Macaca mulatta: one gene and its partners. The protein of the gene in region 3 interacts with the protein of the main gene of each other region in a biochemical or structural test. Links are inferred from orthologs where the notes say so. Each region holds a gene or a part of one and is shown on either strand. Other genes may lie near its edges. The genes, in order: CDH1, ZC3HC1 and CCNB1.

The links.
Region 1: of the proteins of CCNB1 (region 3) and CDH1, one has a biochemical effect on the other in vitro, tested with the Homo sapiens proteins (3 studies listed by BioGRID). The link is inferred for Macaca mulatta from reciprocal best matches to the Homo sapiens genes CCNB1 and CDH1.
Region 2: of the proteins of CCNB1 (region 3) and ZC3HC1, one has a biochemical effect on the other in vitro, tested with the Homo sapiens proteins (3 studies listed by BioGRID, with this or other methods). The link is inferred for Macaca mulatta from reciprocal best matches to the Homo sapiens genes CCNB1 and ZC3HC1.

The regions. Positions count from the first base shown.
Region 1 is NC_133425.1:64,412,148-64,420,619, forward strand, and holds part of CDH1 (cadherin-1), read left to right. Parts: coding exon 1-105; intron 106-380; coding exon 381-509; intron 510-1,582; coding exon 1,583-1,765; intron 1,766-4,194; coding exon 4,195-4,439; intron 4,440-6,764; coding exon 6,765-6,910; intron 6,911-8,472.
Region 2 is NC_133408.1:169,697,848-169,705,201, reverse strand, and holds the end of ZC3HC1 (zinc finger C3HC-type protein 1), read left to right. Parts: intron 1-617; coding exon 618-861; intron 862-1,992; coding exon 1,993-2,205; intron 2,206-3,191; coding exon 3,192-3,398; intron 3,399-6,640; coding exon 6,641-6,709; 3' UTR 6,710-7,078; downstream 7,079-7,354. UniProt on the Homo sapiens protein: Required for proper positioning of a substantial amount of TPR at the nuclear basket (NB) through interaction with TPR.
Region 3 is NC_133411.1:77,238,289-77,246,760, forward strand, and holds the end of CCNB1 (G2/mitotic-specific cyclin-B1), read left to right. Parts: intron 1-3,136; coding exon 3,137-3,295; intron 3,296-4,103; coding exon 4,104-4,340; intron 4,341-4,622; coding exon 4,623-4,763; intron 4,764-5,053; exon of another isoform or gene 5,054-5,155; intron 5,156-6,317; coding exon 6,318-6,428; intron 6,429-6,596; coding exon 6,597-6,704; 3' UTR 6,705-7,273; downstream 7,274-8,472. UniProt on the Homo sapiens protein: Essential for the control of the cell cycle at the G2/M (mitosis) transition.

The DNA of each region.
Region 1 (8,472 bases), on a different chromosome or scaffold from region 3:
TACAGCATCCTCAGCCAAGATCCTGAGCTGCCTGACAAAAATATGTTCACCATTAACAAGAACACAGGAGTCATCAGTGTGGTCACCACTGGGCTGGACCGAGAGGTCAGATGTCAGGAGGATCCAGAGGGTGTGGAGGACAAATGTATATTAGCTCAATCCCGTGGACAAAGCAAAATCCTGCTAGGCCACCTGTCAGTTAATACAGTGTTGGTCTGAGCTTTGCATCTAAGCTTCTGCCCAGAGGTTCCGTGCCTAGAAGACAGGCTGACTGGCGTGAAGCAGATGGTTAAATATTCTGGTTCCATGTGTTGGGCTGGGCTAGGCCAGAGGTGGCTGGTAGTCCTGGTCCTAACTTGGTTGCATTGATCTCTCTGCAGAGTTTCCCTATGTATACCCTGGTGGTTCAAGCTGCTGACCTTCAAGGTGAAGGGTTAAGCACAACAGCAACAGCTGTGATCACAGTCACTGACACCAATGATAACCCTCCAGTCTTCAATCCCACCACGGTAATTCTACAACTCCTCAGAGGGTTTCCAAAGAAAGGTCTTTTGTTGTTCGTGAACTAAGTTTCACCACTGCTCATGGGCAAAGTCTTTGAAAACTCTCTCCAGACTAGCGAATGTTAACTTTAAACTTAAAAGCAAGCATCTTGAGATGACAGTTGTCTTTTAGCATCTTTTTTCCACCCTTGGCCTGGGGCCAGTTGGCTCAAGATTGTGAAGTTGCAGAAAGCACCTACTGATTTCCTATCTGCATATGGTACATTTTTATAGCAAATATTACTGGGTTTCATTTCTTCATTGAACACGTATTTTCTAAGTTTATATTAGGCACTGTGTTAGACAGTGGAGATACCATCACACACAAAGCAGACAAAGATTCTATTCTCATGGTGTTTCTACTATAGCTAGGAAGACATCTTATGAGAGTTATTGAACACCAAGGATATTACATGCATTCAAGGAGAAGGTGTTGAGAACCAAGTAGGGGAAGTTTAAATCATCCTGTATAATGGCCAGGTGTGGTGGTTCACACCTGTAATCCCAACAAGTTGGGAGGCCAAGGCTGTTTGGAGTTTGAGACCAGCCCGGCCTTAAGGACGGAGTTTGAGACCAGCCCGGCCAACGTGGCAAAACCCCGTTTCAACTAAAAATACAAAAATTAGCCGGGCATGTTGGTGCATGCTTGTAATCCCAGCTATTTGGGAGGCTGAGGCACGAGAGTTGCTCGAACCCAGGAGGTGGAGGCTGCAGTGAGCTGAGATTGCACCATTGCAACCCAATGTGCCCATTGCCTGGTCTCTCCTCGTCACATCTGCTCCTCGAAGCTTGCTTTCAGTTAGCCAGGTGTGGTGGCGCATGTGTGTGGTCCTAGCTACTCTGGAGACTGAGGTGGGAGGATTGCTTGAGCTCAGGAGGTTGAGGCTACAGTGAGCCATGATCGCTCCAATACACTCCAGCCTGATGACAGTGAGATCCTGTCTCAAACAACAAAAAAAGAGGATTCCTTTAGCCCCCTGAGACTCAGCTCTGCTAGCAGTCTTGGTACTTTGTAAATGACCCATCTCTTTCCTCTGCAGTACAAGGGTCAGGTGCCTGAGAACCAGGCGAACTTCGTAATCACCACACTGAAAGTGACTGATGCTGATGCCCCCAATACCCCAGCGTGGGAGGCTGTATACACTATATTGAATGATAATGACGGACAATTTGTTGTCACCACAAATCCAGTGACCAACGATGGCATTTTGAAAACAGCAAAGGTTTGTATGGTATATGGCAAGATGCAGAAACTGGCATCCTTGAAGCTGTTCATGCCCTTGTCCCCTGGTATCTTCTTAGAAGTAGATTCGCTTTGGCAGGGGGACAGGGTGACTTTCCCAGATTCTAGTGGACCATGTGGGGTTTGCAGTGGCTCTTCCTGCCCATGTAAGAAATCAAGAAACTGGGCTGGGTGTGGTGGATCACGCCTGTAATCCCAGCACTGTGGGACGCTGAGGCAGGTGGATCACGAGGTCAGGAGTTCGAGTCTCTGCTAAAAATACAAAAATTAGCTGGGCATGGTGGCACACGTCTGTAATCTCAGCTACTCGGGAGGCTAAGGCAGAAGAATTGCTTGAACCTGGGAGGTGGAGGTTGCAGTGAGCCGAGATCGCACCATTGCATTCCAGCTCTGGGCAGCAGAGCAAGACTCCATCTCGGGGGGGAAAAAAAAGAGGCCGGGCGTGGGGGCTCATGCCTGTAATCCTAGCACTTTGGGAGGCCAACGCGGGCAGATCACAAGGTCAAGAGATCGAGATCATCCTGACCAACATAGTGAAACCTCATCTCTACTAAAAATACAAAAATTAGCTGGGCGTGGTGGCGTGCTCCCACTACTAGCGCGGTTCCAGCTACTAGGGAGGCTAAGGCAGGACAATCACTTGAACCTGGGAGACAGAGGTTGCAGTGAGCCATGATCGTGCCATGCACTCTAGCCTGGCAACAGAGTGAGACTTCGTCTCAAAAAAAAAAAAAAAGAAATCAAGAAGCTAAGGCTTCTTGATGGCTCATGCCTGTAATCCCAGCACTTGGGGAGGCCAAGGGGGGCAGATCATCTGAGGTCAAGAGTTTGAGACCAGCCTGGACAACATGGTGAAACCCTGTCTCTACCAAAAATACAAAAATTAACCGGATGTGGTGGTGCACACTTGTAATCCCGGCTGCTTGGGAGGCTGAAGCAGGAGAATTGCTTGAGCCTGGAAGACAGAGGTTGCAGTGAGCCAAGATCATGCCACTGCACTCTGGCCTGGGCAACAGAGTGAGACTCTGTCTGGAAAGAAAGAAAGAAAGAGAGAAAGAGAGAAAGAGAGGAAAGAGAGGAAAGAGAGGAAGGAAGGGAAGGAAGGGAAGGAAGGGAAGGAAGGGAAAGAAAGGAAGGAAAGGAAGGAAAGGAAGGAAAGAAAAGGCCGGGCGCGGTGGCTCAAGCCTGTAATCCCAGCACTTTGGGAGGCTGAGACGGGCGGATCACGAGGTCAGGAGATCGAGACCATCCTGGCTAACACGGTGAAACCCCGTCTCTACTAAAAAATACAAAAAACTAGCCGGGCGCGGTGGCGGGCACCTGTAGTCCCAGCTACTCGGGAGGCTGAGGCAGGAGAATGGCGTGAACCCAGGAGGCGGAGCTTGCAGTGAGCTGAGATCCGGCCACTGCACTCCAGCCTGGGCGGCAGAGCGAGACTCCGTCTCAAAAAAAAAAAAAAAAAAAAAAAGAAGAAATCAAGAAGCTCTTACACAGGATCCTGAAATTGAAAAAGGCTCTTTCCCAAAACATTCTCCTTCCCTTAGCTCTTTCCATTTTGCAATGAGAGGGAAAATGATTTACTGGTCTCTGCTCTTGTGCTGGTTTATTTTAGAAGTGGGGCAGATATGGTTGTTTTTGAAAAATGTCCTAGAAACTTGAAAACTAGCCAAGCACAGTAGTGCATGGCGGTGGGTCCAACTACTTGGGAGGCTGAGGTGGGAGGATCACTTGAGCCCAGGGGGTTGACACTGCACTGAGCTATGATCATGGCACTGTACTCTAACCTGGGCAATATAACGAGACTCCGTCTCTTTAAAAAAAAAAAAAAAAAAAAAAAGGTAGCCAGGCACAGTTGCTCAGTCCTGTAATCCCAACACTTTGGGAGGCCAAGGTGGGTTGATCACCTGAGGTCAGGTGTTCGAGACCAGCCTGGCCAACATGGTGAAACATCATCTCTACTAAAAATACAAAAAATTAGCCAGGTGTAGTGGCAGGCTCCTGTAATCCCAGCTACTAGGGAGGCTGAGGCAGGAGAATTGCTTGAAGCTGGGAGGCAGAGGTTGCAGTGAGCCATTGCACTCCAGCCTGGGTGACAAGAGCAAAAATTCTGTCTCAGAAACAAAATAAGGAAAGAAACTTGAAAACTAAGAATTTGAGTGAATTGCTTGTTGAAGTGACTGGATCCCTAGAATAGCCCCAGAGCTTTGACTTCCTCTTGAGTAGGTGAGCAGATCTGAGAAGCCCTGGTAAGTAATTATGGTTTCTGCCATTGAAAGTCATGGCAGAAACCACAGTTACTTTTGCACCAACCTACTGTATTACCAAAAGCAACAGTTAAGGATTTAATTTCATTTTTACTAACACAAAATGTTTTGTTTTGTTTTTAACTTCATTGTTTCTGCTCTCTAGGGCTTGGATTTTGAGGCCAAGCAGCAGTACATTCTACACGTGGCAGTGACGAACGTGGCGCCTTTTGAGGTCTCTCTCACCACCTCCACAGCCACTGTCACCGTGGATGTGCTGGATGTGAACGAAGCCCCCATCTTTGTGCCTCCAGAAAAGAGAGTGGAAGTGTCCGAGGACTTTGGCGTGGGCCAGGAAATCACATCCTACACTGCCCGGGAGCCAGACACATTTATGGAACAGAAAATAACGTAAGTGTGAGGATTTTTCAACTGACTTACAGCAGCTGGGTATTTTATATCATTTTATATATAAATCAATAATACATAGTTCATGGCATTTTGTCATTTGTCTGTACAAGACCATTCTCTTAATTTATTTTTTATTCCCTTTATCTGTACTCCTTTCACCTGTTCCCTTCCCTCTACAGACAGCCGTTCTTGGTCTGATGTGCTGCCTCTCTTTGAGCTCTTGTAGTATGGTAGAAATGTGATTTTACTTTGCATACACAATAGTGTGTTTTTTTGTGTTTGGAGTCTCACTTTGTCACCTAGGCTAGTATACAGTGGTGATCTCTGCCTACTGCAGCCTCTGTCTCCTGGGTTCAAGCAATTTTCATGCCTCAGTCTCCCACGTAGCCAGGATTATAGGTGCCCGCCACCACGCCCGGCTAATTTTTGTATTTTTAGTAGAGATGAGGCTTCACCACATTGGCCAGGCTGGTCTCGAACTCCTGACCTCAAGTGATCTGCCCGCCTCCCAAAGTGGTGGGATTACAGGCGTGAGCCCCCGCACCCAGCCCATAGTATTGTGTTCTAAGTAGCTTACTATTAGTATTTCTCCTTTCAAACTTGAAGGTACCTCTATAATGTAAATCACACAGATGCTGAAAACCCACATACCAACCAACCAACTACAACACTTGCTTTAAAATACTCTCATTTTGGGCTGGGTGCAGCGGTTTATGCCTGTAATCCCAAAACTTTGGGAGGTCTAGCAAGTGGATCATGTTGAGGCCAGGTGTTCAAGACCAGCCTGGCCAACATGGTGAAACCCCTGCCTCTACTAAAAACACAAGAAATTAGCCAGGCATGGTGGTGCACACCTGTAATCCCAGCTACTTGGGAGGCTGAGGCACGAGAATCACTTGAACCCAAAAGGTTGAGGTTGCAGTGAGCTGAGATCGAGCCACTGCACTCTAACCTGGGCGACAGAGTGAGACTCCATCTCAAAAAATAATAATAATAATAAAAACTCTCATTTTCTATATGTAGCCAATGGACTCCTCATAATCTAGAGATATTTCTACATGCTCCGAACTGTAAGGCCTGGCAAGATGGGTTTTAACTGAAGTTTAAAAGAATGGTGAAAAGTCAAAGACAATAATGTAGGATTTGGTTCTGTGATGAAACCCTGGATTGTACAGTTTCCAGGCTGGGCTGAAAGCTTGCAGTAGTGAAATAGATAGTTCAAAGCATCTCCTGGGGCAGATTCAGGGACCAGGTCTCTAGTGTCTGTTTGCAGAGGCCCTTACACCTGGAACAATGACCACTTGATGTAATTCATTGCTTTGCACTTCCAAAGAAGTGAGGCCAAGCCCGCAGGTTCTCAGAGTCCTTTCCTCCTTTGATTTCTTAGTTTCCCTTTCAGAGCCTTTCCATGACCCTAGTAAATAAATGAGCAGTAGATCTCTGTTAGCTTCCCTTTAGCTCCCATTAAATGCCAATAGTACAGCCCACCCACAAGTCAACAAGGCAACCTGCATCTCCAGATGTTCATGACAGGAGAAGAGGTGACATGTTGCTACCATTTAGGAACTACTGTATTGTTTTGGGGGAGCTGGTCTGGAGGAGTCTGCTTTTAAAAATAAATAAGGATTATAGTAATCATTGCTTCAGCAAGAATCATCCATAGATGCCAAATCTGTTGGGTGAAAGTTAGTTGCTGAACAAGATATTCTTAAATTATCTACCTGCAGATTATATGTTAATCATGCAGTATAAAAAGGCACCTTTGCTGTGAAGAAATCTGGTGGCCTTTCCCTTATCCAAGTGATCAAAGTTATCAATAGAAGCACAGACAGACATCATGTGCTTCCCAGTGTCCTGCACTAGGGAGGCCACAGCATCACTGTCGTGTTCTTGTCCCCACCACTGACCCCTGAAATGGATTACCTGAATCTAAATTTTGAGGAGTAATCAGGCAAACCCAAACTAAGGGCATTCTAGAAAACAACTGGCCAGCACATTAAAAAAATGTCAGTGACAGAAAAGAAAGCCTTAAGGAAGAGCCATGCCAACCAAAGGCCATATTGGATCCTGAATCCAGAATGGTGCAAGGTTGCTATAAAGGACATTTTTGGAAAATCTGACAATTTGAATATGCACCATATATTCAACAGTAGTATTCTATCAAAGTGCTGGGATTACAGGCATGAGCCACTGTGCCCAACCTATTGTTGGTTTTCAAAATAAAACATTGGAAGTAACCATATAACTGAAGAAGAGCTTGAGCCATTTTCAGCTACATGTTGTTTGCTGGTCCTATTCTAAAAGCCAGAGCTTGTGCCTGTTTAGGTATCGGATTTGGAGAGACGCTGCCAACTGGCTGGAGATTAATCCGGACACTGGTGCCATTTCCACTCGGGCTGAGCTGGACAGGGAGGACGTTGAGCACGTGAAGAACAGCACGTACACAGCCCTCATCATAGCTACAGACAATGGTAAGGGGGCCTCATCTGGGCCTTTGCTGCCTCACCCTCCTGGCTAGTTGACTTTCTTGCCCCTCCCTTCTTTTGGAGGCAAGAGTTTATTCTTTTTCTTTTATCCTTTGTGTTTGTTGGATTGATTTGTATAAATGTATGGAGTACAAGGGTAATTTTGTTACAAGCATAGATGTGTAGTGATAAAGGCAGGGCTTTTAGTGTATCAATAGAAGCACAAACAAACATCATGTGCCTCCCAGTGTCCTGCACTAGGGAGGCCACAACATCACCTCCGTCGTGTTCTTGTCCCCACCACCAACCCCTGAAATGGATTACCTGAATCTAAATTTTGAGGAGTAATCAGACAAACCCAAATTAAGGGCACTCTAGAAAACAACTGGCCAGCACATTAAAAAAATGTCAGTAACAGAAAAGAAAGCCCTAAGGAAAAGCCTAACGCATCACCCAAATAACATGCGTTGTACCCATTAAGTAATTGCTCATCATCTACCCCCTCCCACCCCTCGGACCCTTCCCAGCTGCCATTGTTTATCATTCCACAATCTACATCCATGTGTACACATTATTGAACTCCCACTTCTAAGTGAGAACATGCAGTTATTTCTCCTTACATGTCTGATTTGTTTCACTTGAGACAATGGCCTCCAGTTTCATCCATGTTGCTGCAAAAGATTTATCTTTTATTCTTAAAGGCATTCTTATCAAAAATTTAAGTGGGCTGGGCATGGTGACTCACACCTGTAATCCCAGCACTTTGGAGGCTGAGGTGGGAGGATCACTTGAGCCCAGGAGTTCGAGACCAGCCTGGGCAACATGGCAATACACTTTCTCTACAAACAGTACATAAATTAGCTGGGCATGTTGGTGAACACCTGTAGTCCCAGCTACTCAGAAGGCTGAGGTGGTAGGATTGCTTGAGTCTGAGAGGTGGAGGCTGCAATGAGCCAAGATTGCGCCACTGTTCTCCATCCTGGGCAACAGAGCAAGACCCTGTCTCCAAAAAAAAAAAAATTTTTTTTTCAAGTAATTTTGGTCAGACAGAACTTCCTTTTCACTACACACGCACTCTTTATTCCTTCCCTAAGGGAACCCGACAATGATGGTTTACGATCCAGTTCCAAAGCTTAATATTCATGTGACCTTGGATTTACTGTTTAATTTTTTTTTTTTTTTTTTTTTTTTTGAGACAGAGTCTCGCTCTGTCACCCAGGCTGGAGTGCAGTGGCAAAATCCTGGATCACTGCAACCTCTGCCTCCTAGGTTCAAGCAATTCTCCTGCCTCAGTCTCCCAAATAGCTGGGATTACAGGTGTGCGCCACCATGCCCAGCTAATTTTTTGTATTTTTAGTAGAGACGGGGTTTCACCATATTGGCCAGGTTGGTCTTGAACTCCTGACCTTGTGATCTGCCCGCCTCGGCCTCCCAAAATGCTGGGATTACAGGCGTGAGCCACCGCGCCTGGCCTGCTGTTTAGTTTTTATGTCCCTCAATTCCTTTACCTGAAAAATGATAATACTCATGTGGGTGAAATTAGTTAGGTGTTAAATCAGTTAGGTGTG
Region 2 (7,354 bases), on a different chromosome or scaffold from region 3:
CCTGGCCAACATGGTGAAACCGCATCTCTACTAAAAATACAAAAATTAGCCGGGCATGGTGGCAGGTGCCTGTAATCCCAGCTACTCAGGAGGCTGGGGCAGGAGAATCACTTGAACCTGGGAGGCAGAGGTTGCAGTGAGCCGAGATCGTACCATTGCACTCCAGCCTGGGCAACGAGTAAACTCTATCTCAAAAAAAAAAAAAAAGAAGGACAGGAGAAACCTTTTCGTTGTTGTTGGTGGTCAGGCTGGTCTCAAACTCCCGACCTCAGGACCGCAGGTGATCCACCCGTCGTGGCCTCCCAAAGTGCTGGGATTGCAGGCATGAGCCACCACACCTGGCCGAGAAACTTTTAAAACATGCCTGCAAAACAGTCTTACCATAAAGAGCACAATAAGAACCCTAGGTCTTTCTATGGGAAATACATGAGAGATGATGAAGTATGAAGCTGGGGTCCTGAGATTGGAGCACAGAGGCTCTGACAGGCCATGGTTCCCTGTCCACTGGACTGTTCCAGAAATTGGATGAGATAAAGCATACTTGCGAGACATTACACTTAGTCATTTGGAAATGTTACACTTTGAGAAAATTCTCTTTTTTTTTCATTCCTATCTAGTTCCTCTTTGGAACCCATGCAGCTTTCCCTGATAACATGTTCGCAGTGTATGAGGAAGGTGGGGCTCTGGGGCTTCCAGCAGATTGAATCATCCATGACTGACCTGGATGCATCCTTTGGCCTGACCAGCTCCCCGATCCCAGGCCTTGAGGGGCGACCAGAGCGCTTACCTCTGGTGCCTGAATCTCCTCGGAGGATGATGACGCGGAGCCAGGATGCCACTTTCTCCCCAGGCTCAGAGCAGGTATGCACTTAGCTTGTTTGGGGTGGACTTTTAAACAACATTCTTGGCAAAAGTGTTATTGGTAGGCCGGGCGCGGTGGCTCAAGCCTGTAATCCCAGCACTTTGGGAGGCCGAGACGGGCGGATCACAAGGTCAGGAGATCGAGACCATCCTGGCTAACACAGTGAAACCCCATCTCTACTAAAAAAATACAGAAAACTAGGCGGGCGCCTGTAGTCCCAGCTACTCCGGAGGCTGAGGCAGGAGAATGGCGTGAACCCGGGAGGCGGAGCTTGCAGTGAGCTGAGATCCGGCCACCGCACTCCAGCCCAGGCGACAGAGCAAGTCTCCGTCTCAAAAAAAAAAAAAAAAAAAAGGCCGGGCGCGGTGGCTCAAGCCTGTAATCCCAGCACTTTGGGAGGCCGAGACGGGCGGAGCACGAGGTCAGGAGATCGAGACCATCCTGGCTAACACGGTGAAACACCGTCTCTACTAAAAAATACAAAAAAAAAAAAACTAGCTGGGCGAGGTGGCGGGCGCCTGTGGTCCCAGCTACTCGGGAGGCTGAGGCAGGAGAATGGCGTAAACCCGGGAGGCGGAGCTTGCAGTGAGCCAAGATCCGGCCACTGCACTCCAGCCCCGGCGACAGAGCAAGACTCCGTCTCAAAAAAAAAAAAAAAAAAAAGTATTATTGGTAGAAAGTTGGAAATTAATTTAGGTGGATAGGCTTCACTTCCCACTACATTGGTCACAATATCACGTAGTGTTTCTGTTCACTAATGGAGAAGCTAAATTCAGCCAGACCCGGTGGCTCACGCCTGTAATCCCAGCACTTTGGGAGACTGAGGCAGGTGGATCACTTGAGGTCAGGAGTTCGAGACCAGCCTAGCCAACATGGTGAAACCCCGTCTCTACCAAAAATGCAAAAATTAGCCAGGGGTGGTGGTGGGCGCCTGTAATCCCAGCTACTTGGGAGGCTGAGGCAGGAGAATCACTTGAACTTGGGAGGCAGAGGTTGTAGTGAGCCAAGATCGCCTCACTGCACTCCAGCCTTGGAAACAAAGCGAGATTCTGTCTCAAAAAGAAGAAGATTAAAGAAAGAAGTATCATTAATATCATTTGTGTAATTCCATTATCTCCCCTTTCCTTCAGGCTGAAAAGAGCCCTGGTCCCATTGTCTCTCGAACTCGGAGCTGGGACTCTTCCAGTCCTGTTGACCGTCCTGAGCCAGAGGCTGCTAGCCCCACCACCAGAACTCGCCCAGTGACCCGAAGCATGGGAACAGGAGACACCCCTGGCCTGGAGGTACCATCTAGCCCTCTGCGGAAAGCCAAACGAGCTCGCCTCTGCTCCTCCAGCAGTTCGGTGAGTCCACCGCGCATGTAGCAGTGGCTGAGCAGAAACAGCATGTTGGGCTTTCCCTGGGCAGCACGGAGAAGCAGGCATGAGCCCTTCCATGGTCCAGTGCAAAAAGTAGACCCTGTGAATAAGTTTAAAGTTGGGTGACCAAAGGGGAAAAATGTCAGTCATGTTTTTTGCTCCTTTTTGCTCCTTTGGGGTGGATTCTGGAGAAATAATAGATATTTCAGGCAAATGGAACAGCAGTGTGATACAGGGACAAACCTGATATGGCAGTGGTCCCCAACCTTTTTGGCACCAGGGACCGTTTTCGTGGAAGACCATTTTTCCACGGACCAGGGTTGGGAGGATGGTTTTGGGATGATGTAAGCACATTACATGTATTGTGTACTTTATTTCTATTATTATTATATTGTAATGTATAATGAAATAATTATACAACTCACCATAATATAGAATCACTGGGAACCCTGAGCTTGTTTTCCTGCAACTAGATGATCTCATCTGGGGGTGATGGGAAACAGTGACAGACATCAGGTGTCAGACTCTCATAAGGAGCCCGAAGTCTAGATCCCCCACATGTGCACTTCACAGTAGGGTTCCTGTTCCTGTGAGAATCTAATGCCACTGCTGATCTGACAGGAGGCAGAGCCCAGGTGGTAATGCAAACAATGGGGAGCGGCTGTAAATTCAGATGAAGCTTTGCTTGCCTGCCTGCTGCTCACCTCCTGCTGTGCGACCTGGTACCTATCCATGGCCTGGGGGTTGGGTATCCCTTATCCCTTGTGATAAAGTGTAGCTTGTTTAACACAAAAGGAGTGAAAAAAAATAAAGAAAATGCGAGGAAAATGTATAGGCAAAGTTTAAAGGAGAGCATAAACACTCGAAGTATAGTTAGTTGTGAGATTCTGGACTTAATGACTAGTAGCAGTGTCTCCCTGAACTTACCTAGCGTCTACCCATGAATGCTATTTCTTTTTCTCCTTCCTCAGGACACATCTTCCCGAAGCTTCTTTGATCCCACCTCTCAGCATAGAGACTGGTGCCCTTGGGTGAATATCACACTCGGCAAAGAAAGCAGGGAGAATGGTGGAACTGAACCAGATGCCAGCGCCCCAGTAGAGCCAGGCTGGAAAGCAGTGCTGACCATCCTCTTGGCCCACAAACAGTCTAGCCAGCCAGCTGAAACGGACTCCATGGTGAGATAAGCCATTGCCTGTGTGTGGGCAGCACTTGCTGTGTATAGGAGGAGGAGCAGAGGCTGGTCCTGTAATTAGCACCCTGCCTGCCTTCAGCTCCCATACATCAAGTTATTTGGGTTTGTTTGTTTGTTTGTTTGTTTTCTGAGATGGAGTTTCGTTCTTGCCCAGGCTGGAGTCCAATGGTGCGATCTCAGCTCACTACAACCTCCGTCTCCTGGGTTCAAGCAATTCTCCTGCCTTAGCTTCCCAAGTAGCTGGGATTACAGGTGCCTGCCACCATGCCTGGCTAATTTTGTATTTTTTAATAGATGGGGTTTCGCCATGTTGGCCAGGCTGGTCTCAAACTCCTGACCTCAGGTTATCCACCGGCCTCGGCCTCCCAAAGTGCTGGGATTACAGGCATGAGCCACCATGCCCAGCTTACACATCAAGTTAGACTCATTCTGCTTTAGTCCTAGGGAATAGGCATAGAACCTGTTCGTCTTTCTGCAGTTTAGCATATGGCATTCCATCAAGTTCTGATAAATTATTTTGTTCTCCTAAATAAAATGACTCCAAGTAGAAAAGGAGTACAGAAACAGAAATAGATGAATAGGCAGCTGCTCCGGCCTCATGTTGCAGACAGCTGCTTTTTCTTTCAGTTGCTATCACTTGCACTTGGAGCCTGGCCAGTTAACTTAGCTGTTTGGAGCACTGGGCTCTGACACCAAAATGATGGTTTCATTCCACACGCCGGGCACATTACTCTGTTCTACAGCCCAGACTGTGACTCTGCTAGCCATTGCAGCCATGACTGCTATGGGTTACAAATGTGGGTGACAACTGAGAAGAAAAGTCAAGTGTTTGCTCTGTTTAAAGATTGGAAGTGATAGGCTGGGCAATACAGAATCATGAAAACTGGGTTCTCTCCTTGGCTGGCTCACTCCCAGATTTTCCTTGTAGCTTGTAACAATTTCTGACCTGTATAACTTTCAAGGACAAAGTAAAATACTTGTCAGCAGATATTTACGAGCAGCACTCCTAGATTCATGGTTTTCTAGGGTTACAGGATTCCACTGGAGGGAACTATTGTAATGCTAAAAGTCCAACAATGCATGGCGGCGTGGTGGCTCACACCTGTAGTCCTAGCACTTTGGGAGGCCAAGGTGAATGGATCACCTGAGGTCAAGAGTTTGAGACCAGCCTGGCCAACATGGTGAAACCCCGTCTCTACTAAAAATATAAAAAAAAAAAATGAGCCGGGTGTGGTGGCAGGCACCTATAATCCCAGCTACTTGGGAGGCTGAGGCTGGAGAATCACTTGAACCCAGGAGGCGGAGGTTGCAGTGAGCCGAGATCGTGCCATTGCACTCCAGCCTGGGCTTCAGAGAGAGACTCTGTCTCAAAAAAAATAATAATAAAAATAAATGTATATTAGTACCCTCAGTAAATATGCAGGTGAAGGTTTTCCAAGTTTTCACAGAAAAAAAAAAAAATCTGCATTTCTCTACCTAGATCTTCAGAAACTAGTACATTGGCAGTTTTCAATAAGACTCCTCTCTCTCACTGCCATATGAAAAAGAAAGCCCATGGGGTTTTGTTTTTGTTTTGTAGTGGGAAAAGTTGGCCTCATAATTGGCCCTGGATTCCAGGACTTTTAAGATCTTTTTTTGTCTTTTTTGTGGGTAGTGTCTTTTAACCTTCTGACAGCTGCTGCGACTGGATGCTAGAAAGCTTAATGAGACGGTGTGGTAAAGGATCCTGATGTTTGAAAAAAAAGTATATACCAAGGCCAGGTGCAGTGGCTCATGCCTGTGATCCCAGCACTTTGGGACTCTGAGGCAGGGGGTCACCTGAGGTCAGGAGTTCGAGACCAGCCTGGCGAACATGGCAAAACCCCGTCTCTACTGAAAATACAAAAATTAGGCAGGCCTGTTGGCATGCACCTGTAGTCCCAGCTACTACAGAGGCTGAGGCAGGAGAATCGGGAGGTGGAGGCTGCAGTGAGCCAGGATCGCGCTACTACACTCCAGCCTGGGCAACACAGTGAGACTCCCTTTCAAAAAAAAGAAAAATGTGTATACTATTTTTTCAACTCATGTTTCTTTCAACTTTGTCATTCTATTAACTAAATTTCCCTCAGTCATTAGTAAGAGTTCAAACTTTTTCCTCCTGGAACTTATTGAAACATCCTCAAAGAGGATAGATTTTTTAAAAACTGAAAGTGAAAGTGGGCCGGGCGTGGTGGCTCATGCCTGTAATCCCAGCACTTTGGGAGGCCGAGGAAGGCAGATCACGAGGTCAGGAGATCGAGACCATCCTGGCCAACATGGTGAAATTCCATCTCTACTAAAAATACAAAAATTAGCAGGGCATGGTGGCACATGCCTGTAATCCCAGCTACTCAGGAGGCTGAGGCAGGAGAATCGCTTGGACCAGGGAGTCGGAGGTTGCGGTGAGCCGAGATCGCACCACAGCACTCCAGCCTGGGCGACATTGAACATGTCATATGAGAAACTGGAGGTAACTGTGGATCATCTTGCTGGACATTCTTTGCACTCTCACTGAAGCCCTTTCTGCGTGGAGCATTTGCTCTTTATTGTGACGCTCAAAGGCAGACAGAACCAAGTGTTCTGATTCACCAAGAGCTTTTGTCCCCTAAGGAATTACTTTGTCTCCCTTTACCACCATTTCTCAGAATCTCAGAGTACTTCATTGGCATAATCAGATGGCAGTGAGATTCTTCCTATTACTAGCACTGCTGGCTAAAACATAAAGCTGTGAAGACCAAGGCCAGAGCTTAAACTCACAGGGGTCATTCAACTCTGTTTTTATTACTTGGCCTTGGTTTATACTGTTAACCTCAGCTAGGCATCACATAAGTATAAATGCTTATTCACAAGAAATAATGAACTAGGGCCAATTCAGCATCATGAATGAAAAACCAGTGCAAAACATGTCATGCAGTAACGGCAAGTCAGAAGTGTCATCCACAAGTACAAAGATGAGGACAGACACAGATGCCTGACGGGAGGATACGTGCCGTGTCTTAGAGGCTCAGAGTGTGTTAACAGGAGTCTGACAGTAGAACATCAGCCCCTCGATCTTTAGTCTGACTTTAGGTATACATTATATATAGCATACTACAAAGTGAATTTTTACTCAGTCCTAGACATATCCAGATCATTGGGGGACAAATGATTTATCCTTTGTCTCTATCAAAGAACCTAATCACTAATAATAAGCTTTTCTGCCTACAGAGTCTCTCTGAGAAATCAAGGAAAGTATTCCGAATATTTCGGCAGTGGGAATCTCTATGCTCATCCTGAAGATATTCTAGCCCCTTCCTGGAGAGAGTTGGAACGCGAGTGACTTTTGGAAACATTAAGGCTGAGTTCCTTTTGGTCAGCTGACGCTAAGTTTTTCCTGTTCCGGGTTAATCCTAAGGAGCCCCTGCCATAGCAAAGGCAGGGAGTGTCAACGGTCTGCATCTGGCTGAGGGAGACCCGTTTCCTTTCAGGGATGTGGACAGGGTAAGGGCAGCAAGCCTGATTCTGTTGAAGGAGTGCGGGGTTAACAGACCAGAAGGAGGACTAAGGACCTGACCACCCATTTCAGCATCTTCAGTGTGGGGTGGTGTTCTGAGGACTCTTCTATCCCAGGAGTATGACAGCGTGTATTAATAAAATATTTGCTAAGATTCTCCTTGTTGGAGAACTGTTTTCCCCCTTGCCTTGTGGGCCGGAGACAACGTCAGTGGAACATTCGACTTTTGATTTTCAGATTGGCTGCGAAGCCTAAAATTTGTGATTCCAGTCAAGGAGGTATAATCTTCCCTAAACCAAAAAAGCAAGATGATTTTCATTATGCCACCAGGAAATTTCCTGGTATGTTATAGTGAATGGTAAGCTGATAATTTTCTCCTTGCTTTGATGGTAACAGAATAAAACAGTGTAATGGGGAGGAAGACACTT
Region 3 (8,472 bases):
CCACAGATTGAATTTTATATGTATATATGCAATCTCCACCGTATTTGGAATGGTTAAGTCCCAAACTCTGCATTTTAGGTAATAATGGGTCAGCAAGTGGATGAGGATGTAGAATATACTCAAAGACTACAGCCACCCCTAACACAAGGCATTTTGTGTTAGTGTGGCTGATGTGCGTCCAGTTGTTGGTGAAATTATTTGTGCCCAAAAGGAGTACACTCAAAAGCTACTTTTTGGTTCACTTCAATTTGATCCCACTTTTGAAACTTTCTCTTAATGGCATTTGCCCTTTTCCTACAAACACAAGTATTCTATATGGCAGCATAAACATAGTAGCGTCAACTATACCGTTATCACATTTACCTAGTTTTTTGGTGTGTGTGTGTGTGTGTGTGTGTGTTTTTTTTTTTTTTTAGAGGGAGTCTCACACTGTCGCCCAGGCTAGAGGGCAATGGTGCTGTCTCAGCTCACTGCAATCTGCCTCCTGGGTTCAAGCAAGTAATTCTCCTGCCTTAGTCTGCCGAGTAGTTGGGATTGCAGGCACACACCACCATGCCTGGCTAATTTTTTGTATTTTTATTTGGTTTTGGTTTTTTGAGACAGGGTCTTGCTCTGTTGCCCAGGCTGGAGTGCAGTGGTGCAATCTCGGCTCACTGCAACCTCTGCCTCTCGGGTCAAGTGATTCTCATGCCTCAGCCTCCTGAGCAGCTGGGATTACAGGTGCCCACCACAAAACCCAGCTAATTTTTGTACTTTTAGTAGAAATGAGGTCACCATATCGGCCAGGCTGGTCTCAAACTCCTTAGATGATCCACCCACCCGGCCTCCCAAAGTGCTGGGATTACAGGCATGAGCAGTCGCGCCCAGCCCCCAGTTGTTTTTAATGCATCGTCTTAATGTCATCACTGACATCTCTTGCCTGCTCCTTTGGGGCCTCTCCTTTTTCTATAGGATTCTTCTGCAAGACTTCTATGCCAGGAGTAGCCTTCTGCTTTGAGTTTCTTCTGCCATCTTTTTAGGGCTTTTTAAAGTTGTGTTCTTTTTTTTTTTTTTTTGAGACGGAGTCTTGCTCTGTCACCCAGGCTGGAGTGCAGTGGCCGGATCTCAGCTCACTGCAAGCCCCGCCTCCCAGGTTCACGCCATTCTCCTGCCTCAGCCTCCCGAGTAGCTGGGACTACAGGTGCCCGCCACCTCGCCCGGCTAGTTTTTTTTTGTATTTCTTAATAGAGACGAGGTTTCACCGTGTTAGCCAGGATGGTCTCGATCTCCTGACCTTGTGATCCGCCCGTCTCGGCCTCCCAAAGTGCTGGGATTACAGGCTTGAGCCACCGCGCCCGGCCTTAAAGTTGTGTTCTAACTTTGGAGGATACCTTTTTTTTTGAGACAGTCTCGCTGTGTCACCCAGGGGGTGTGCCGTGGCTCACTGCAAGCTCCGGCTCCCAGGTTCACGTCATTCTCCTGCCTCAGCCTCCTGAGTAGCTGGGACTACAGGCACGTGCCACCATGCCTGGCTAATTTTTTGTATTTTTAGTAAAGACAGGGTTTCACCATGTTAGCCAGGATGGTCTCGATCTCCTAACGTCATGATCCACCCACCTTGGCCTCCCAAAGTTCTGGGATTACAGGCATGAGCCACCGTGCCCAGCCTGTAAATGTGCTGTTTCTTGATGCTTCGTTCTTGTTCTGTGCAAGGCGGCCATATATGCAAAGCAACCCCCCAAATGTCAGAGGAGCTGAGAAACCAAGGAATAAGGCAGATAAATGGAGTTTGCTGGTATTGGGTGACTGATGAGGGGGAATTTACAGACATAAGTCTGGTCTTTGATGGCTGTAAGATGTAGATCTCTGCACTGTAACCCCTCATACCCACGGCTTGAGTATGTATACATTTTCTTGGGGAAAGTATACGTGCTCTAGAATGAATGTGCGGGTGGCTGAGAGAATGCTACAGACATCATAGCCTATAATGTATACAATAGTATGAAGGGCTGTTTTGGAGGAGAGGCCAAACTTAAAGTGAATAGGCAGAAGGCACATTGGATTAGCATTTAAAATAAAGTCACTCTTGTCCCCCACAGTTCTTAGCTATGTTGCTATTGGGCTTTAACCCTGGAGCAGGCAGGAGTGTTGTAATAGATGGGTTCCAGCTGCCCTGGGAGTTTGATATTTTCTCTACGTAAAGCTCAGGTTCTAACTTTAGAGGCTCAAGTGAAAAGATCTGAGATGATAGTATAGTATCTTTATTTGGAAGGGAGTGGACTAGCAAGAGTTGTGGTGAATTGAATATCGTAAGACCTGACAATATAAAAAAGCTGTCACACTGTCCTATCTAATGTTTGCCCTTTTTTGGCGGGGGGGTGAAGGGGGAACAGTCTCTCTCTGTCACCCAGGCTGGAGAGCAGTGGTGCAATCTCGGCTACCTGCAACCTCCACCTCCTGGGTTCAAGCAATTCTCCTGCCTCAGCCTCCTGAGCAGCTGGGACTACAGGTGTGCGCAACCACGCCCAGCTAATTTTTGTATTTTTAGTAAAGAGAGGTTTTGCCATGTTGGCCAGGCTGGTCTCGAACTCCTGGCCTCGAGCAATCTGCCCATCTCAGCCTCCCAAAGTGCTGGAATTACAGGCATGAGCCACCACGCCAGCCTTAATGTTTGCTTTCTTTCTTGGTGATGGTGTTGTTTGTGGTGACCATATGAATAATTGAATTAAGAACTGATACAAAGGCTGGGCACAGTGGCTCACGCCTGTAATCCCAGCACTTTGGGAGGCCAAGACAGGTGGATCACGAGGTCAGGAGATCGAGACCATCCTGGCTAACACAGTGAAACCCCGTCTCTACTAAAATACAAAAAAAAATTAGCCAGGCGTGGTGGTGGACGCCTGTAGTTCCAACTACTCGGGAGGCTGAGGCAGGAGAATGGCATGAACCCGGGAGGCGGAGCTTGCAGTGAGCCGAGATCGCGCCACTGCACTCCAGCCTGGGCGACAGAGCGGGACTCCGTCTCAAAAAAAAAAGGAACTGATAGAGATTCTAAATGCCCCAGTGCTACTTACTGTAGGAACTAACTGATCTTTCTGGACATAAATGTGTCACATGGAGTCATGTTTCTAAGAATAATCGGCATTTTCTTTTGCAGGAAGAGCAAGCAGTCAGACCAAAATACCTACTGGGTCGGGAAGTCACTGGAAACATGAGAGCCATTCTAATTGACTGGCTAGTACAGGTTCAAATGAAATTCAGGTTGTTGCAGGAGACCATGTACATGACTGTCTCCATTATTGATCGGTTCATGCAGGTAAGCATTTCAGTAAGTTTTCCCTTCCAGGATTCTAGCCGAGTCATAAGAAGCTGACGTTTTTGGGCTGGGCCGGGTGTGGCGGCTCATGCCTGCAATCCCAGCGGGTGGGTGGATCACGAGGTTAGGAGATCCGAGACCATCTTGGCTAACACAGTAAAACCCCGTCTCTACTAAAAATACAAAAATCGGCCGGGCGCGGTGGCTCAAGCCTGTAATCCCAGTACTTTGGGAGGCCGAGACGGGTGGATCACGAGGTCAGAAGATCGAGACCATCCTGGCTAACACGGTGAAACCCCGTCTCTACTAAAAAATACAAAAAACTAGCCGGGCGAGGTGGCGGGCGCCTGTAGTCCCAGCTACTCAGGAGGCTGAGGCAGGAGAATGGCCCGAACCCGGGAGGCGGAGCTTGCAGTGAGCTGAGATCCGGCCACTGCACTCCAGCCTGGGCGACAGAGCGAGACTCCGTCTCAAAAAAAAAATAAATAAAAATAAAAAAAAAATAAAAATACAAAAATTTAGCTGGGTGTGGTGGCGGGCGCCTGTCGTCCCAGCTACAGGAGGCAGAGGTTGCAGTGAGCTGAGATCGCGCCATTGCACTCCAGCCTGGGCGACAGAGTGAGACTCCATCTCAAAAAAAAAAAAAAAAGAAAGAAAGAAACTGACTTTTTCAGCTAAAATCTTTCTTGGGGGATATGGTATCATTAATTAAGATTTTGCAATGGGAGAATGTCTTTCTACCTCTCCATCATAGCTCTGTGTCTCCTTTTCAAACATGTTATTCATTGTGTTGAAATTCCCATTGCAGAATAATTGTGTGCCCAAGAAGATGCTGCAGCTGGTTGGTGTCACTGCCATGTTCATTGCAAGCAAATATGAAGAAATGTACCCTCCAGAAATTGGTGACTTTGCTTTTGTGACTGACAATACTTACACTAAGCACCAAATCAGACAGATGGAAATGAAGATTCTAAGAGCTTTAAACTTTGGTCTGGGTCGGCCTCTACCTTTGCACTTCCTTCGGAGAGCATCTAAGATTGGAGAGGTACAGGTTTCTTAAGAAACCTTTCGGTATGGGTACATTAGGGAACACTGCTGCTGACCAAGCAAGTCGAATTCAACTGACCTATATTATACCTAACTACATGGGGAAGAGAGAAAGTTGTTCTTTATTTTTAGTCAGGCTGCATGTTAATATTAGGGCTTTCCGTGGGCATTTGAGAGTTTGTAGACAAACATTTGTAGTTAAAAGATACATATGGGCATGCAGGTTAGTGCCAAATGAAAATTTTCTGAAAGAAACTCAGTGACACGGGTTTTGTTTCAGGTTGATGTTGAGCAACATACTTTGGCCAAATACCTGATGGAACTAACTATGTTGGACTATGATATGGTGCACTTTCCTCCTTCTCAAATTGCAGCAGGAGCTTTTTGCTTAGCACTGAAAATTCTGGATAATGGTGAATGGGTAAGCTCTGTCCCACAGAACTCCTAAGCTTTTAAATTGTAAAGAATGTTTGACTAAATACAGAACTTTTGTTATTAAAGGGCAATTCAAGTGATTCATAAATATGGGATCTACTGAAGGAATAGTTTAAAAAGATGTCATAGAATGTTTCCACATGGTTTTGTTTTTGAGACAAGGTCTCGCTCTGTCGCCTGGGCTGGAGTGCAGTGATGCAGTCTTGACCCACTGCAACCTCAGCCTCCAGAGTAGCTGGGACTGAAGGTTTCTGGCTAGTTTTTAAATTCTTTTCATGTCAGACGGGTAATATGCCCACGTTGTAACAAGGTTTGAGGGTGGCACATTTCACACGTTCACATGAACACCCAATCATCACACTTATAAACTACAAGAGTCGCCCACCAGCCTGGGCAACGTAGCAAATCCTCATCTTTACAAATATATATATATATATATATATATATATATTCAGGTTGTTGCAGGAGACCATGTACATGACTGTCTCATCTTTACAAATATATATATATACACACACACAAATATATATATATACACAAATATATATATATACACACACAAATACATATATATACACAAATATATATATATATATATATATATAGGCAAATGTCTGTAGTCCCAGCTACTCTGGAGGCTGACCTTTATATTTTTTGTAGACATGGCGCCTCCCTATATTACCCAGGCTGGTCTTGAAACCCTGGGCTCAAGCGATCTACCCACTTCCACTTACCAAAGTGTTGGAATTACAGGCGTGAGCCATTGCAACCAGTCAAGTGTTTCCATTTCTTTGCCTAATTTCAACTGTATTCCCTTTGAGAAAGGTAGAGCAACTTTTACTCCTTAGAGGAGAAACTTGAAGGTCAAATGACATACAAATAGTACATTCATATTCATTGATTCAGCAAATGCCTCTCCTATGTGGCAGGCACTACCCTAGGTGTTAAGAATAGAACTATGCAGCCGGGTGTGGTGGCTAACACCTGTAATCCCAGCACTTTGGGAGGCCAAGGTGGGCAGATCACGAGCTCAAAAGTTCAAGACCAGTCTGACCAATGTGGTGAAACCCTATCTCTACTAAAAATACAAAAATTAGCCAGGCATGGTGGTGCAAACCTGTAACCCCAGCTACTCAGGAGGCTGAGGCAGGAGAATCACTTGAACCCGGGAGGCAGAGGTCGCAGTGAACCAAGGTCACACCATGCACTCCAGCCTGGAGTGAGACTCCATCTCAAAAAAAAAAAAAAGAAAGAAAAGAATAGAACTATGACAAAGTTGGCCTCAAGGAAGTAGAGTCTAGTTTTAGGGTGGGCAAGTCAACAATTACAATAGTGCAATTGTGTTTGAGCAGAGGTTCCTATAGAAGCATGAGAGCACCTAGGAAAGGAGGAGTCTTTAGCTTTGTCTTACATTTCACTTATATTAATTAATGATACAGTACCCTTCCCTTCCCCACTCCTGAATAACATCAAACATCTAGAAACTTTATGAAAATCATTATCGATTGAGCATTTTTAACATTAACTTTTGTTGTCTTAGACACCAACTCTACAGCATTACCTGTCATATACTGAAGAATCTCTTCTTCTGGTTATGCAGCACCTGGCTAAGAATATAGTCATGGTAAATCAAGGACTTACAAAGCACATGGTGAGTCAATATAGTGGCATTGTAAGATGTCAAAAAGTCTAATAATTCAAACTTAATGCCTGCAAATGCCTGGTTTATTTTTAATGAGTTAATGTTTTAAATGAATACCTGTATCATTGGATCTTGTGATTTTTTCCCCTCTTTAATGGCTATCCTTTTGTCTTCCAGACTGTCAAGAACAAGTATGCCACGTCGAAGCATGCTAAGATCAGCACTCTACCACAGCTGAATTCTGCACTAGTTCAAGATTTAGCCAAGGCTGTGGCAAAGGTGTAACTTGTAAACTTGAGTTGGAGTATATATTTACAAATAAAATTGGCACCATGTGCCATCTGTACATATTACTGTTGCATTTCCTTTTAATAAAGCTTATGGCCCCTTTTACTTTTTTATAGCTTAACTAATTTGAATGTGGTTACTTGCTACTGTAGGGTAGCGGAAAAGTTGTCTTAAAAGGTATGGTGGGGAATATTTTTAAAAACTGCTTTTGGTTTACCTGGGGATCCAATCGATGTATATGTTTATATACTTGGTTCTTGTTTTATGTACCTGGCTTTTACTTTATTAATACGAATTACTGAAGGTGATGGAGGTATTTGAAAATTTTACTTCCATAGGACATACTACATGTAAGCCAAGTCATCATGGAGAATCTGCTACGTAGTTCTATTTTCAAGTAAAAGTCTACCACCAAATCCCTAGTCACCCTGTTAGAATTCTGTTTCTTCTGGTGATTGCTGCCATAATTCTAAGTTATTTACTTTTACCACTATTTAAGTTATCAACTTTAGCTAGTATCTTCAAACTTTCACTTTGAAAAATGAGAACTTTATATTCTAAGCCCAGTTTTCATTTTGGTTTTATGTTTTGTTTAATAAAACAATACTCAAATACAAAAGGTATCTTTTTTAAAAGTTAATTTACCCCTTCCTTAGGCTCTTTCTAAATCCCACCCACCTGAAATCAACAATTACGGATTTATCCTTCCATGTCTTGTATATAGATGTGCATATTAATTTTTATGGGTTTTTTTAAAATGTGGTTTATTCTATATACATAACAATTATTGTCAACATACATAAGCCTACCTGTATTTGTGCATTATATTACATGGTACAGATAGTCATGTGCCCCATGAACATTTTGGTCAAAGACAGACTACATACACCTTGGTGGTCCCATAAGATTATGATGCCATACTTTTACTGTACCTTGTGCCTAGATACACAAATACTGACATGTTATAATTGCCTGCAGTATTCAATAACATGGTGTATAGTTTTGTAGCCTAGGAGCTATAAGCTACACTATATAGCCTAGGAGTGCAGTAGGGTATGCCATCTAGATTTGTGTGAGTATACTCTGGTGTTTGAACAATAAAATCACCTAATGACACATTTCTCAAACCATATCCCAATCATTAAGCAACACATGAGTAAGTTTTTTTGTTTTTGCGACAGTCTCGCTCTGTTGCCAGGCTGGAGTGCAATGGCGCGATCTTGGCTCACTGCAACCTTCGCCTCCTGGGTTCAAGCGATTCTCCTGCCTCAGCCTCCTGAGTAGCTGAGATTACAGGCATGCACCACCACGCCCAGCTTATTATGTATTTTTAGTAGAGATGGGGTTTCACCATGTTGGTCAGGCTGGTCTTGAACTCCCGATCTCAGGTGATCTGCTTGCCTCAGCCTCCCAAAGTGCTGGGATTACAGGCGTGAGCCACCATGGCCAACTAATTTTTTGTAATTTTAGTAGAGATGGGGTTTCACCGTGTTAGCCAGGATGGTCTTGATCTCCTGACCTCGTGATTCGCCCACCTCTGCCTCCCAAAGTGCTGGGATTACAGGCATGAGCCACCGCACCCAGCCCTAAGTAGGCAATTTTTATATGTGGTGTGAAGTAGAATTTTTCCAGATACCCGTTTATGCCAGTTCCATGACTGAAACCCTCCTTGTCCAACTTGAAATATCTTCAATGCCCATCTATTCTTCCCTGATCTTGTTTTTTCCTGTGATAATACAGTTTTACCAGTTTATCAGTTAAGATA